4 linked regions of the Caenorhabditis elegans genome follow. The protein of the gene in region 1 interacts with the protein of each later gene in a pairwise test. Each region holds a gene or a part of one and is shown in the gene's direction. Other genes may lie near its edges. The genes, in order: fbxa-157, toca-1, ifas-3 and skr-20.

What was found.
Region 2: the proteins of fbxa-157 (region 1) and toca-1 interact in a two-hybrid assay, tested with the Caenorhabditis elegans proteins (one large-scale study listed by BioGRID).
Region 3: the proteins of fbxa-157 (region 1) and ifas-3 interact in a two-hybrid assay, tested with the Caenorhabditis elegans proteins (one large-scale study listed by BioGRID).
Region 4: the proteins of fbxa-157 (region 1) and skr-20 interact in a two-hybrid assay, tested with the Caenorhabditis elegans proteins (one large-scale study listed by BioGRID).

The regions. Positions count from the first base shown.
Region 1 is NC_003283.11:17,897,764-17,902,487, forward strand, and holds fbxa-157 (F-box domain-containing protein), read left to right. Parts: upstream 1-2,039; 5' UTR 2,040-2,064; coding exon 2,065-2,072; intron 2,073-2,173; coding exon 2,174-2,380; intron 2,381-2,425; coding exon 2,426-2,512; intron 2,513-2,561; coding exon 2,562-3,198; intron 3,199-3,904; coding exon 3,905-4,114; 3' UTR 4,115-4,143; downstream 4,144-4,724.
Region 2 is NC_003284.9:1,518,369-1,523,471, reverse strand, and holds the start of toca-1 (Transducer of Cdc42-dependent actin assembly protein 1 homolog), read left to right. Parts: upstream 1-1,984; 5' UTR 1,985-2,077; coding exon 2,078-2,110; intron 2,111-5,103. UniProt on the Caenorhabditis elegans protein: Plays a role in protein trafficking, actin organization and embryonic morphogenesis. Potentially acts as a cdc-42 effector. May play a role in hypodermal P-cell nuclear positioning.
Region 3 is NC_003282.8:15,949,175-15,952,951, reverse strand, and holds ifas-3 (Ig-like domain-containing protein), read left to right. Parts: upstream 1-2,063; 5' UTR 2,064-2,090; coding exon 2,091-2,144; intron 2,145-2,192; coding exon 2,193-2,447; intron 2,448-2,494; coding exon 2,495-2,601; intron 2,602-3,028; coding exon 3,029-3,227; 3' UTR 3,228-3,260; downstream 3,261-3,777. Other genes in the region: Y105C5B.15 (Purple acid phosphatase), read right to left, coding at 274-435, 875-1,010.
Region 4 is NC_003284.9:13,222,510-13,225,708, reverse strand, and holds skr-20 (Skp1-related protein), read left to right. Parts: upstream 1-2,171; coding exon 2,172-2,693; downstream 2,694-3,199. Other genes in the region: skr-19 (Skp1-related protein), read left to right, coding at 1,001-1,468.

The DNA.
Region 1 (4,724 bases):
TATATGGAACACTGACAAAAGAGGTATCCAATAAAAACATGTTATTCTGCATTTTCAGATATATGATACCTTTTGTATTATCTGTTTTCAGAATACAACAATACTTCAAAAACATCAAAATAACAATTTTCGAATTTATCCACCAGTTAGTTACAAAAATATGTTTGTAATACATGTTTTTATTGGATATCTCTTTTGTCAGGTTCCAGGAACTGATCCAACTGAGGAAGTCAATGATGTCACAAGTTGAAGAACAGTTGCCAAAAGCCCAGTCACCACTTGCAACACAGCATCCACTTGCACTTGCTCAGTCTGGAACCGTCACTGTATTTTTGTAACCACTAAGAATACAGAAACTTTCAACGGCTCCAACATCTGGAACTTCTGGAACTGGAACCTCCAATGAGCATCCCAAGTTAGCAACACAAGCGATGAGGGCAAGAAGGTAGAAGATGAAATTCGTGTTGAATGAATTGTGACTATTCCATTCTTACAGGGCTCTTTTTATATGGAACACTGACAAAAGAGGTATCCAATAAAGACATTTTATTCTGCATTTTCAGATATACCTTTTGTATTATCTGTTTTCAGAATACATCAATACTTCATAAATATCAGATATTAAATTTATCCAACAATTGAATTGAAAAATACTTGTAACGATACCTCTGAACATTGATGTTTTACCTTTAATAGCCTACTTCACATGGTCATGTCAGATAAGTTACATATTAGCTTGCATATCTTCAATTTCACTCACTCAGAATGTTTTCAACAATTCATTCATGCTTTTTATTGTATATGTATATTACAATTGTTGGATAAATTTAATATCTGATATTTGTGAAGTATTGTTGTATACTGAAAACAACTATTACAAAAGGAATGTCTGAAAATCCAGAATAAAATGTTTTTATTGGATACCTCTTTTGTCAGTGTTCCATATAAAAAGAGCCCTGTAAGAATGGACACATCATTCAACGCGAATTTCATCTTCTACCTTCTTGTACTTATCGCCTGTGTTGCTAACTTTGGGTTTTGCCAGAACACTGGGAGAGTTGTGAGTATCGACGATCAAACTCGTTACTTGACGGAATTGCTTAACGAAGTTAAGGATAGATTCGAAAGCACATCGGACCAGGTGTTTTCATCATCTGATAAAAAGCAGGATTTGGTGGATTCATTGCTGGATCAGATCGACAAACTATTCCTGGAGGAGGATTCACATCCTAAGTAATTCAATAAATCATGTTGTTATTTTGGGAATAAATATATCGAACATTGTGAATTTGCCTTCTTTCTTTTAAAAAAGATTATTATATTACAGAGTGACACGCTCTCCTCTAATCCAAATATTTATTAGAGCGCGCTTGCTAAACTTCGCGTTTCTGTACATCTTGCGCTGTGGGTGAAAGTTTCAATTTTACAGGTTTTAATGAGATTATTTCGTTATTTTCTATTTTCTAGTGAACGAGTGGCCAAAAAATAAAGAAATTGTTATTTTTTCACTCTATTTTTTCACTAGAAATAGTAGTAAACCATGAGTCACATGAGCCCATCTCAAACCATAAAATGCTCTATTCACTTCCTTTCACACATTTTTATGAGGAATACTGATAACAATCGGAGGAAAACTACGCTCGTAAACCCGTGGCCTCTTTTCAACCAACTGTAACCATTTTCTAACTGCCATTAGATTTCGTCCACTTTCCAAATAACTTTGCTCACTTCTCCACCAACTTTCACCAACTTTTTCCAATTGCTCAGAGCATTAAATCATTGCCCAATTTTCCTCAATATTTTTTCCTAAAAAATTACCTCAATTTTTGAAATTTTCTCTTCTCTTCTCACTGTTGTCAATTTTTAGCTAGTTTATTGATTCTCTCGATTTCGAAAAAAAAAAACCTTTTATGAAAACTTGAGAAAGTCTAATTTTTCGTGAAAAAACTCTTCACCGCCCATGAAATCACGAATTTATTTTTTGTTGTCAAAACGTTCCTGGTAATTTTTAACATCGGCCATGATGAAGAAATTTTCAGGGAAAATTCGAGCGGTTCAGTCTCAATGGATCAGTAAGTTTTTCATTTTATCCAACTTTAATTTCAATCAAAATCTGAGATGGAAAAAAGACGAACTTTGTATTCTCCAATGAAAAGTATAACTTCAATTTCAGAATCGATCGTAAAGTTAAATGCATCGTCACGGACTCACGAGCACTGCGAATCTGTATCCTATTCCAACTTCTTCAAGAAATTCCAGTTCTCGATGCATACGAAGCAATGTGCAAGGCATTTGGTGAGCAGTTCATGGAATACCTCCATTTTGAATATTGGTATATGGGACTTTCAAATGGAAGTCTGAACTTGGACTCATATGATAGGTTCGTGTTTTTTCAATCAATGAAGTATGAGAGTAACTATTACAGATTTTATTCATCAGAGAGGAAAGAATGGAAATCTGTTACGAACTACCTTCAAACAATGATTCTGGATAAACTGAACCCAATTGATCGGTATAAATTGATTGCATAGTTTTGTTTTGTAAATACAAATTGTTTTCAGGTTTACTGCAGGTGCGGTTTGTTGTAGTTTTAAATCTATAATCGATTATCAACGTTCTAACTTGAAGAAATTTCATATTTTTCAAGAAGAAAATAACGTTTCTTTGTATATGAACGATAACCTTGTGACCTATGAATTGGACGATGATGACTGCCTTGTGACTTATGAAGAACGGGAGCTTCTTGTTAAGAACAAACGGCCATTGGAGGTTGCTATGAATGATGCATCAAGACTTTTGAAGTGCAGAGGATTAAATCTGGATTATTTCTACGTTAATGGAGTTAAGGACGAAGGGCTCATTTTATTTGATGCTCTTAAAAATGTACTTCAATCAGTTGGAGTCTTGACGACAAAATCAGTATTGATCAATTGGCTTCCTTCTGTTCAAATTGCTGAAATTCTAGAACACTTCAATACTGAAATTTTAGAGGACTTGACAATTAAAAGTAGCGAATCCGATGAAAATTCCATAAAACGTCTGGTGCGCCTTGAACAATGGAAACAAGCAAAGACTCTGACATTGTCTCCTGTTCCACATTATTCACTTATCGTCAAGCATCTTGCTCACTTCCAATCACTGAACTTTGACTTTTCTGAGGAAGCTTTCCCAAGAGGTGATATGATCAAGCTTCGAGATGTGAGTTTCCTACGATACATTAATGTAGGGCTTCCGTTTGAGAGCGGCGCGGCGTCGGCGCCTCACGTCGGCGCGTCGCGCCGGCCGGCTTTTGCCGTCGCCGCTCTGTGCATATTGGCGTGAACTCCGGTGTTTGCGTAGTGTGGATATATGTCTGCACACCGTAGTTGTTCAACGTTAATTTGCGCAACGTGGTGCGAGAGGTGTAGTCGAATTTTTTATTGCTTTATTAGGCTCAACATAGTATGAAAACACCGAATTTCATAATGAAACTTCTTGAAAATTCTAAAAAAAGTTATGGAGGCTCAAAAAATGGCCTGAAATTAGTCAAAATGTGAAATTTAACCGACTTCTCAATGTCGCAGTGGCTGGAGAATTTTTTTTTTTGAAATCACCGTCACATTTTGGGTATAATTATCTTGCGTTTTTAACTTCTTTTAGGTACTTTAAAGTCGATGGACGGCGAGATTTTGTAAAAAAATTAAAAATATTTAAAATAATCCAGCCGCTGCGACATTGACAAGTCTGTCAAAATTCAAATTTTAACTAATTTTAGGGGTCATTTTTTGAGCCGCCATAACTTTTTTTAGAGAAGTTTTCAAGAAATTTCATTAATAAATTCGGTGTTTGCAGACAATTTTAAGTCTAATAAAGCAATAAAAAAATTCGACTACACTACCTTAAATTTTATAGTATAAACTTTCAGGAGATTCTTCTAAAATCCACCAAGTTTGAATATTTTACTTGTGAAAGAGTGAAATTTGATGCGACACTGCTCGTTAGAGTTTTTAAGCCACGCTCACCTCCAAGTGGTTCAACTGGATCAATTGTTTATAAATCTAGAAATGAAACATTCGACATTGCTTTTCATCCTGATGGTTTCAGTATCAAGAAGAGAATTGCCTCGCAACATTGAATTCGTAAATATTCGGATAATAAAGTTTTTATTCTCTACAAATCCCTTTCTTTGTTAAAGGTGGAGTAGCGCCAGTGGAGAAATTGCTATAAAAAATACCTATGGTACTACAATGACCAAATATCATAGTAAAAAAAATTCAAAAAACTATTCTAAATTTTATATGATTTTTTGAAAATTGAAAAAATCTCGAATTTCATCAAATTCCCATTTCAACTACCGCCAATAGTCGATGTTCGAAGGAGCGTGCTTGCATTATTTTAACTTCTATTTATTCATTTTTCTTATTTTTGATTGATTTTTCATGTTTTTTTTGAGTAATTTTACTGGAAATTACATGAAAAATTTAAGATAAATGTAGATTGTTCACTAAAAATAATTGAAAACAGAGATAGCACGTTTTTCAACGACGTTGAGCCTGAAATAATCTATTTCAAAGATTTAGATTTTAGCGCCCGCTTTTTAATAGAAAATTTGCATTTATCTTGAATTTTTCATTAAATTTCCAGTAAAATTACTCAAAAAACATGAAAAATCAATCAAAAATAAGAAATAGGAATAAGGCGTGGACGTGGCGTGAGTCGGGCAGGTTGAAGGCAGGCGTCAGGCA
Region 2 (5,103 bases), on another chromosome or scaffold:
GCCGGAACACCTGCTCCTGAGAGCCCAAATGTCATTGACATGCGGGAAGGATTAGGAGATCTTTTTCGAAATTTTTGAATTTCGATTTGCACTGACCAACATTTTGTTTGCATTGACCAAAGCTGCAACTTTCCAACTTTCTAGTTAGACTAGAACAACTCCGAATTTTTCGAATTTTACCCCCTTGTCACCGATTCTCAGTCCCAATGTCACCTTGTCTTAGGTGTACTACCTTTCATTACTAACTTCCGAATACATTTTCTTCGCCTCCTTTTCCCCATTCTTCTTTTTTTTCTACTCAACCTTCCGAGACACGACTACCTATGTGTTGTCGTCGATTTGGCGGGTCACTTGAACTTTTGCGTTTGGCCATGGAAAGATTGGCGAGGCAGGAGGGGGGACAAAAGGAGGCCTGTTTTGCATATTACCTTGAGAAACGTCGGGTACGACAAGCATAGCATTTTTTGGGTAGTTTTTTCTGAGAGTGATTGTAGGGCTTTTTTGGAAGTCCTTTGAAACCAGTATATATATATATATTTTAGTCAGCTTTAGGTTTTTTTTTTTTTTTTTCGGGCCAAGGCAGATGGTGAAGTTAAGGCTAAAATATATGTCAGGGCCAAAAAGTGGAGACCCAGAAAGTTGAGCCTTCAAAAACTAAGCCATTTAGGCTAACTTTTACTTTCTTTATTTAGGCATTTAGGCGGTTGAGCCCTTGAAAGCCGCATCTCCATTTTTTCCGCTCCTTGAGGTTAGGCTTATTTTAAAATCCTTGAGGTCAGGCTTATCATCCTTCAAAGTTTGAGACCAAGAAGGTTAAGCCCCGTAGTTGAAGGATAATTCTGAGCCCACGAACGCCAAGCCCCAAAGAAGCCCAAAGTAATGGCTGGGCACCTGAAGTCTAAGCCTTTAGGCTGCGCTCTTAGCTTAATGCCCTTCTTCAAAAACTGAGTCCCTCGGTACAGACTAAGCTTTTAGGTTACCCTTTAGCTTTTAGGCAAGCTCGGGCCTAATTTCAGGCTTAGCTTCAGACTCAAAATTACGAGATTTCCCTCAACGTAATTCGAAAAAAATTGATTAGACTAGGTATCTCGCGCCGTGCGTATTGTTGTAAACTCTTCATTTTTCGCTCATCAATATCTCCGAAAACCCCGGGACCCCGAGGTCTATCCTAGATAGCAAGATACGCAGACGCACACATGTGTATACATATGCTATTGGGCGAGAAATAGCGTCTCTTCTTTTTCTTCTTCTCTTGGGAGCTACTTTTCGAGGTCCGAGCTGCTGCAGCTCGAGCTGGGTGCTCGAGCTGACCGCGGACCCCACTTCTCGTGACCGCCTATCTTGTTTTTTTCTGTGTTGCTGTTCTCGGATAAATTTGGGATTGGAATGTTTCTTTGGGGTCTAGCCTGTTTCAACGGAAATAAGTGAAAAATTGTTTGCTGATTTTCTTAATTTTTTCACTATTTGCTGATGCTATTTTTGTAAATTCGGTAGCTGAAAATTTCTGGTACCTGGTAACCGTGAACTATACCATATGGAAAAGTTTGAAAATTGGAGGTTTTAGGCCATTTTCGGCTATTAAACTTTTTCCGATTTTTCGAATAATCTAGCACGTTTTAGCGAAATGTTTTTTTTTTGATTAAGCTTGATTTTTTCTATTAATTTCTCAATTTTGCAATAATTTTCTCCACCTTTTTTCAACCTCCCATAGCACTCCAAATACTCTGCTCTTCCACAAAAAATTTACCCCCCCCTCCTGAGCCCCCACAATTATACCTATGCTTCCTTCCGCCTCCCGGTGCCATGAGCACCAACCACAAATTGCTCTCCATTTTTGCTCCACGACACGCCCAACCGTCAACAGCTTAGATTACTGTTTTTGTTCCTATTTACGAACTAAAGTTTTCAATTTTTTTCTCCTTCTCGTTTGTTCGGATCTTTTTTGTGCTGCTCATTGCTGTTAACGTTTTGAGTTTTTTTTCAGACTTCAACTCGAAAAAGTTCCAATTAGTGTTCATAAAAAGAAGGAATCGAGATTGGATTGGATGGTAACAACCTTTTGAAGAAGCGGCGAACAATGAACGACAGTTGCAGTTGGGACCAGCTATGGGTAAGTTTTTATTGAATCCTTGGTAAAAACTAAAATTTAAAATAAGAAAACAGGCTACTAAAATGAAAAAACCGCGGGTCTAAAAAAATGGCCAAAATCACCAAATGTTGAGCTGAATTTTTTACGATTCTAAACCGTGAATCCTCCTTTTTTCCTAGTTCAACATTTCAAAAAATCTACTGATTAAAAGTATGTACATATGTGCCTAAAATTGTAATGTTATGCACTTCACACTGTGAAAAGGTTAGAAGGTTTCCACCAAAATGAGAAAAATGGCACGAAACTTCAGATTTTCAAAATTGGGCGCTGCTTCAAATTGCTGAACTTTTAAAAAATATGTCAAAGTTCCAAGATACCAGGATTATGCCTAATTTGGAAAAAATTGGAAATATAAAATTTTTCCAAATTCTGTTACAGCTCTAAAGCACCCACGCCACGAATTTCCAGAACCTAGAATTTTTCGAGACCGCCGCAGTTTCAAAACTCCAAAATTTGACGAAATTCCGGGCCCAACCACTTTAAGGATTATTTTCTGGGAATATGCAAAAATAGGGATTTCAATTGATATCATGGCAAGACGTCCGCAGGGTTTTGCGCCGCACTATATTTTATTTGCAATTGCCTGGGTGGGGCGCGAAACCCGTTAGATGTCGGACCATAATATCATTTGTATCGATATTGGGGTACTGATACTGGCATGATCACAGATGGGCGGTCCCGATACTTTTTGAAATTCGGTAAAATTCCGAAATTTCTAAAGTTCGGATGAATTTGAAATTTGGCGTTTGCCAACTTCTAGTGCAATTTTATAGTTTCGATGTGGAAAATCCTTGGATTTTTCTCAAATTTTTAATAAAATCTAATGATCCCCCCCCTCCCCCCCACCAAACATTTCTACTCGTTCCTACATACATTTTCGCATATCACATATACCTTCTCGTCTCCCGCATACATAATTTAGTAGTTGTAAGCAAGATCGGGGGGTGGCGGGCGATCACAAAGTAACGGCGGAAGCGGCTCACCCACCCTCCGAACACACTTGAATTAGTCATTTGTTGCTAATGTAGAGGTGGATACTAATAAGGAGTGGCGGGAGGTGTATAGAGAGAGTGAAAGAGAGAGAGAGAGAGAGAGAGAGAGACGCAGAATTAAAAAACAGGGTTACCTAGTGGGTTTGCTGGGCGCACGTTAGTATGTTTTGGTAAATGCGCTCTAATTTTAAAATTCAAAAATGGAGTGGAAATTTCTATAATATATTTTAAAAACATTTTTTTTTATTAAATTGGTCCGTTCACACTGATTATGCCTACTTTTTTAAGACGTTGTATTTTTAAAAATTGATTTCAAAAAAATTAATTTTCTACTCTCTCTCAAAAACTTCTCTTAAAAACTACAAAATCCGATTTTTTTTTCGCCAAAGTTTCTTATCAGTTTACAGAAAAATTGTGAACATTTCAGAAATGCCAGTATGACACATCTTTTTGAACATATCAGTTTGTGCTTGAATTTGATTCAGAAAAACAGCAAAATTTTTTTTCTTTCAAATTTTCCCAATACTTCAGCCAGTTTTTTGTCGTTTATAACAGTAATCTACCGCAGAGATACAAGCTTATAGAACTTAAAGCCGAGAGAGTGTGGGACGAGGGGAGAGTGCAGACTGTCTTCAATTTCTAGTGCTCAAAATTTGAGAGCATGTAACTTGAGAAATGAATTCTGAAAATTGGATTTTCTATCGATTTACTCTTTAAATTTTCAATTAGGGCTCCCATGTGGGTGCCGCAAACGCCGCCCTCACGCCGGGATCCGAAATCTTAATAGCAATGCGCGAAACCCAAAAAATGTCGGATCGCGGCGCCTACATGGGAGCCCTGGTTTTAATATAATAATGGTTCCGAACAGTTTTATTAATAAAATTGCACAAACTTTCTGATCGTCGGTTCTCCGCTCTTTCCTTATCGTTCACTTCTCGCCAATTTAATAGGCAAAAGCGGTAGTTGGGGAAGGGCGGAAAGCGCAAATAAACACAGCTTCACTCTCTTTTTCTCCCTTTTTCGGCACCAAAATCGTACTTTCTGTGATTGTATTTGTGTTTAGCAGGGAATTATCAATAAGATTAGAAGGTTTTTTAAAAAGAAAATTTTTTGTGGGGTCCCTGTAACCTTGGATGTAATTTTATAACATGGTGCATCGACTGAAAACTACACTAGCAATTTTTAAGTTTACGGTTGAAACTTGTCACTTTTACATACATATTAAGGGTTATCAGTATATTATTCATTCAAAATTTGTGCTAGTAAAGTGAAATTTTTTCTCTGTTTGAAAAAATATGATAAAATGCCAAAAAGAACGTCATTTCCTATGACAAATTTTGTCCGATGCACCATGTTCAAAAAATTTCTTTGGCTCTCACATATTTTTCAGGTTTTACCGCCAAACTTATCGGACTTTTCCAGTCGATGCACCATGTTCGGATTTATTTTTCTAGACAAAATTATTGCTGCTCCTTCAAAAAATATCGATTTTTTTACCTGATGCACCATGTTCAAGTTTTCTGAGAAAAATTTCTGTAATAGTCGAAAAGTTACCGAGAACATTTCAAAACGAAAATGTCATTCTGCTTCCGTTCCCCATTCCCCCCTACTTCTTCAGCCTTACTGTCAATCCATTTCAATTCTACAACCATTTTTCTTCATCTCCCCTCATTTTCCCTTCCTCCTCCCCCTTCTAACTTCTTCTTCTTCTTCTAGTCGCGTCGTCAATCGGTGTTGGGGTCGACAATTCATTGTATATGTAGATCACATTGCATTCGGATTGCGCCCTTCCGTCCTGGCGATAGTTTCTAGGACGCCGCGCCTTGGACACTCACCGCACCTTTTTTCTGCAAAGTTTGAGTTTTTGCTTGGGGCACTTTAAGTCTGATTTACATGGAAATTAGACTATATGAGCTCTTAATTTAAGTTGCTCAAACTTTTTGAAAGTGTGCTGGTTTTGTA
Region 3 (3,777 bases), on another chromosome or scaffold:
TCGGAAAATATTGAGAAACTTCCGAAAAAATCTGGAAAAAATTGAAAAAATCTGGAAAAAATTGAAAAAAAAAATGGAAATTACACATACTTTTTTAAAAATTGTGTGTTTTTGGCATTCAGTTGTAGTTAACTACTTAACTAAATGTTGCTAGTTTTTATATCGAAAATGTGAAACAGAAATTATTTGTGAAAAAAAATAAAATTTTACTGTTTCACGCTTTATTTATAACTTATATACATTTTTATAATTTAATATCTTATAATTACTCACAATAAGTGTCACCTGGGACCATCTTCGTCATAGTCGCCCTATGGGTATATCTGACGTATCCATGAGATCCCTGGTCTTTCCATGACGTAGTGGTGGCCTTGGCGGTCCATCGAAGAGCATCCTTAGATAATCCGTACATCACATATGGCGTCACATTTGGTACTGAAAATTCCAGAATATTTGTGGAATTCATTGTGGAATTGAAATGTAGAAAACGGGAAAGTTTTTGAGAACTAGATGAAGCAGTGTAAAAATTTTAATTATAATATTCTGTTTATTTAAGGAAATTTTTTTTTAATAACACGCCTATAATGGCATTTTACATTGAAAAAAAAAAACTGAAACAGTAAAAAATTTGAAAATTGTTTTAAAAAAGTTGGTTTTCTTCAAATGTGGCAAAATAATACAACAAATAATATGTGAATTATTCAGAGGAAAAAACGTCATTAACAAATTTTGAAAAACATACACACTTAAAATAGAGTTTTCGAAACAGTAAAAAAATTTTCATAATTTAGAAAAAAAATTTGTAGAAAATTTCACTGGATGCTTAGAAACCCATTATTGAAAAATCAATATGAAAAAACAAAAAAAAACCCACGAGGTCCCTGCGTTAGCCACGTCACAACCATTTCATCCATTTTCCCGCTCAAACTGAGATGAACCTGCTCCACCCGATTCGCTGTCACATTTTCAGAGAAAATCAATAAAACCAACGAAACTAGCAGTTTTCTCATCGTTTTTCTGGGAAAATGATGAGTTTTCCATCTGAAATTCTTTGGTTTTATAGTTTTTAATCTGTTCCGATTCGCGTCGTTTCCGATGTCATTCTTCTTGAGTTATGACTGATTAGCAATAAAAAAATGATAAGAACTGTAGATTTGATGATAATTCGTTTGATTGATGGGGAAAAATGGGGAAAGTTAATTTTTTGCAAAAAAAAATGCAAATCAAATAATAAGATTTGCATCACTAGAAACATTAAAAAATAAAGGTGAAACAGAAGATTTTGTCTTAAAAATTTCAAATTTCTTGCAATTTTTTTGTAAAAAAACTCAAATTTTTCACATAATCATTTGTAGGAATTTACACTCAAAAAAAAAACTGCGTGGGCGTGTACTGCAGAAAACGTAATATTTAGGCCCCGCCTTTTTCTCGTCCACTAACGGAGAAAATGCAAAAATTTTGACCCCAACCAATATTAGGCCGCCGACATATCACGGGTTCCGCGCGCCGCTATGTTTGACTCGCAGCAGGCGGAGACAGCTCGCCACGCCCACAGCGAGCTAAACGCAGCGACGCGCGGAACCCGTGAGATGTCGGCGACCTGAAATTGGTTGGGGTCAAAATTTTTGCCTTTTCTCCGTGAGTGGACGAGAAAAAGGCGGGACCTAAATATTAGGTTTTCTGCAGTACACGCCCACGCAGTTTTTTTTTATTTTGAGTGTAGTCTGATCTATTTGCGTTTGACCAAAAAAACATTTCTAAGTGGAAAAAGCTGAACAGTAAACAGCCACTTAAGTTTGTACTTACTAACATAAGATGAAACAGTCATATTATTTTCCATTGTTTACCTTTTCTTGCTCATTATTTCTTTTAAACAAGCACAGAGTTTTTGCACAATATAATTTCTCTGCTTCTAATTTCTCTAATTTTTTAACTGTAACTATTAACTGCTTAGAAGACAACCATGAAAAAAAAAAAATTTTTCTGTAACAGGAATTTTTTTGAGAAAAAAAAATCATTTTCCAGATTTGACTGGAAATAAAACTGTTAACGTTCCCCATGTTTTTCAGATTGAATATTTTCATTTGGGAATGCAAGAAGAAAGTTATTACAATTTAACAGTTGGCGATACACATGATCGACTGGTAGGCTCTTTTTTTAAATAATTAAATTGTTATAAAAAATATTTTCAGCACAACTTTCAAATAACCGTCGACACTGACTATCGGAACTTTGTTCAACTAGTCAACACGATGAGATCACCTAACATTGCACAACAAGACCGGGCTTTTCTACAATTACAACAGCTAGGATTACAGCACCCGGACTACATTCGAAAAGCCCGAGTCCCAGAAACCATGCGGCAGTTCGCAGAAGGTGCCGCCGGAAAACGGAGGATACGTTCGTGTCATGGAACATATCTTCATTGGTATGACGAAGGATTGAAGGTTTCAAAAAAGTAAAAAAAAACTGTGCTGATAGAGAATAATTCTAGGTTGACATGAAGTCGGGCGAAGCGGGGACATGTGAAAATTGGATTATTGAGGACTGGAACGAGAAAGTGGTTTTCAGGGCAGTTGATCCACGGGGCAAATATCTAAGGTACGTGTAGGCTCTGTAAAGACATGTGGTGTCAGAGTGTCCCATTTCGGTTAAATATATGAAACTTGCGAGAAATTTAAAACTGTTGCGTGTACACTTATATAGGCCCACGGAGAAAAGGCAAAAATTGGCGCCCCAATCAATATCAGGCCGCCGACATTTGACGGGTTCCGCGCGCCACTACGTTCAGCGGGCTTGGCGAGCTGTCCCGCCCTCTGCGAGGAAAATATAGTGGAGCGCGGAACTCGTAAGATGTCGGCGGCCTGATATTGGTTGTGGTGCCAATTTTTGCCTTGCGACTATACAGTACTACAGAAGCGACTATACAGTACTACAGTACAGTACTTAAACTTCCAACGTATAGAATTTGAAAATTGAAAAGAAAAAACTTTCTAGCATCTAGAAGTGAGCCTAAAAAACATTGCAGAGCTTGCCTGGGGAGCAACCAGCTGACTCTAGTATACATTCCTGAGCCAACGGAACTGTGGAGCCCATTCGAAAATGGCAACGGGACCTGGTCGTTTCTCAGTTCTAACGGAACATGGCTCAGTGCTCACGAAGATGGGCAAGTGTGCACTGTGAAGGACCGTCAAGCGTGTGAAGAATTTTTGTTAGAGTCGTGGTAACTTATTTTTTGTTAATAAAATAAATATTTGATTTTGATACTATTGCACTGCAAGGAACGACTCGAAACCGGGCAGATGTCTGGCCATGTATTAGTGTACAGATGATTCTAGACACTTTTGCAAAAAGTTCAGAAATCGAAATCACAAACTGATAAAATCATAATTAGGTGCAAGCATGTGTGGGTGTATCATTTGCTGATTTTGCCAGAAGAGTGACCATTGATAATAACCTTGAATTTGTGTTATAGGCGAAACAGTGAAAGTTTAAAACTGTCCAAAAATTTATTGAATTACTGTTTCAGATAGTCTACTTTTAAAAACTTGTTTTTTATTATTTAATTATGATCTGACAACTCGTTTTCCAATTTCTAAAAAGTTTTTGTAGGAGTTAATTGAGGTTTAAATTTTAAAATGTTTAATTTATGAAACTGTTGGGAACTGGAAAATTGAAAAAAAAAACTATGTAATTCGTTGCGTTCATCCTTACAATATCTTTGACCAATTGTAGTTATGAAATTATGTTAATTTATGTAAACATTATGAAACATTA
Region 4 (3,199 bases), on another chromosome or scaffold:
ATTCATCACCCATGACAACGTACTCTCTTTTTGTTTGCTCGAGGTAGCTTTATAAGTGCGCGTTGCGGCTGCGTCGCGGTCTTGTCTTGCAGGAATAGGTAGTGTGTTGGAAGATTGATTCATTCTCGAAAGAATGAAAAGAAAAAAGGTTTCATATGTCAGTTTCTAGCATAAAAAGGAGGAAACTGGTTATTTTATTTTCCCTTTCAAATTTGAAGTTAGAATTCGAATTTTTTTGCTATTTTCACAGGAATAATTTAGTCGTTCTAATACCGTGTGAGCCGAACAAGAAAACAAAAAAAAATCAATTTTTCCAGACCTTTCCTGTAATGAAATATTAGGTTCTTATCTGATGACACTCTTCCTTTTGATAGTTGTGTTGTGTGAGTTCACGTGACTTTCCATATTTCTAATGGCCGTGGAAGAGAAACGCGTCGTCTGCCAGCCTTCGGGGGAAGACGTTGGTGCTGAAGGTGTGCTTGAGGAGCGCACATAAACTTATCGATTTTCTTGAAATCTTGATTTTCAAACATTTTAGTAAAATAATACATTCTTGAAACGCTATTTTCAAATCAGTTTTTCCTAATGTGCTATGTAATTGAACTGTTCAACAGAAAGTAATGATTGTCGTGACTTATCAGTGACTTTTTTTTCATTTTTTTTGTACCAACTAGTGGTCACCCATCATATTCTTGACATACACTTTATTGATCCAAAAATTTCTGTGTTTAACATTGTAATAGTTCTAAGAATCGGATAAAAAAACTTTATTTTCAGCTACGTTTTTTAAAGCAAAAGTGCGAAAGAAATTATTACACATTGAATTTTATTGTCAAACGATTTAATTTAGTTTTTTCTTCTGCAAGAAACTACATACAAATAGAACTTCATCTAGAAAATTTAAGGAAATAGTTTGAATCCTGACTATTACTATTATTTGCTAATTTTTTTTCTTCTTTTCATTCTTTCTACTACAGACATTTTCAAGTATTTCAGTGTAATGCAAGTTGAAGAACCTGTAATACTCTACAAACTTCGGTCAACAGATGGGCAGAGATTTCTGGCAGATAGGCGAACAATCGGAATGATAGGACGGATTGAGGACCTATTTAGAAATGCTGGATTAGACCTGATTCCTGCCGATCAACTGCAGCCAATTCAACTAGAAATCCCTGCGACAGTGATGAGGAAAGTGATCGAGTGGTGCGACCATCATAAGCACGACCCGCCCTACGACGAATCTGAACCGGAAACCAATGATATTCCTGACTGGGATGCGTCGTTTCTGATGGTGAGGCACAACATGCTCTTTGATATAATCCGAGCCGCGAGGGATTTTACTGTACCTGGTCTCTTCGCCATGTGCTGCCGTGTCGTCGGACAAAATCCTAGAGAGATTATTGACGGATTGGTGAATGATGAAGAGGAGGAGCAGCCAGTATATCCAGTGGTGGCTGCAGCGGCTTAGGAATTTCATTTCAGATGTGTGGTGTTTCGTATGGTATGGGAAAATTTAGACTATTTGTTTTCATTTCAGTAAATATTTGAAGTGAGAAAAATGTAATCATAAGATCAAAGTTGAGCCCATTTTTGAAATTTTTGTGATAATTTGGGCAACATTTTAGCAAAAGTATTCTTCGTCTTTTATATTTTACAGAAAAAATGCAAAAACCATACTAATTTTGTAAACAATGCAACTTTATTTTTCAAGTTTGAATCAAAAATTCTCTTCTCGATTCCCTACAAAAAAACTTAAATACAACCACCATACTTCTCAGCCACCACCACATTTAATGCTAATTTCCCGTGTTCAACCGTCTTGTATTCAATTTTATTTTCTCTGCTTCTTCGTTCAATTTATATTTTAAAACTTTCGCTGTAGATTTGTAATATAGAAAATTTGCCTTTGATCAACTTGACTCACAACGCCATTCACTTTTCTTCAAAAAATTTTACAATTCCAGTTTTTAATCGTTTCATTCCATCTTTAATAAATTCATAGTGTATTCTTCCAGCTCTTTTCCACAGGTCTATGATTCGCCAAATAAATAATAAAAATTACTTTAAAGATATCTCATTTATATATTTATTTTTGTGTGGTTTGAATCCACTCAATAATATTTTTGAAACAATTGCAAAACTATTTAATCAATTACCTTTAGTTCCACATCATGACCACACCACGATCTGCGCCCTTGTACAAACTGAAGTCAGAGGATGGTCAAATTTTTAATGTCGAACGAGGACCAATGAAATTTTGTGCATTTATCAATCAGAAGTTTATTGACCATGGAGTGAACGACAGAAATTGTGAACGAGCAGATCCAATTCTCGTTCCATTCCACTCATCGATTGTTCAAGCTGTAATAGAGTGGCTTTACCATTATCAGGACAACCCGCTCGCCCGACGAGACTCCAAAATTCGTTACCACGATTTTTCCGAATGGGACAAGCAGTTTTTCAACGTGGAATCGGGAGTTCTTTTTGCACTACTCAATGCTTCTCATGCGCTTGGAGTCGAAGATTTGATGAATATGGGGTGTGCAGCCGCAGCAGAATTGATTCGAGGAAAAAGCACGGAAGAAATTCGCAAGATCTATGGAATCAGGTCAGATGAAGAACAAATGGAGGAAGCGTTGGCAAATGGTGGAGAGGGAACATCTGCAATGACATTCACAACGGATTCTGATTGATGTTTAATTTCACATATTGTGAAGAAGATGTTTGAAAGAATATATTTATACACTTTGATTCAAGTTTATTTGTGAATAAATTATTTTACAAACCTCATAAATGAAAAATTGAAGTTATAAGAATGTAAAAGAATAGTTGGAAAACAAAACAAACAACTAAAGTGTCACTACTAATTAAAAAATTGCTTAAAATTAAATATCAAAGAACCATATGTAAATCAAGTTCTCGTTGTTTCAGAATATGAGGTGAGCCCCCAAATTACCGGATTTTTATTTCCGATTTTTTCTGATTTTGCATCCAATTTGGCCGAACTTGTACATTTCTGGTGTTTATTGCAAAATACTAGGTTTTAAAAGAACTAAACGTTTATAAACTTCATGACGGAATTGAATGCAGCGTTCTGATTACTAAATCTGGAAAATTTAATAGTGTGCTTTTTTTTAAAGTTTTTTTTTTCATCTGCCTTAATTTGCCCTTTTTTGTGGAATATTATTTTTCAATTTTG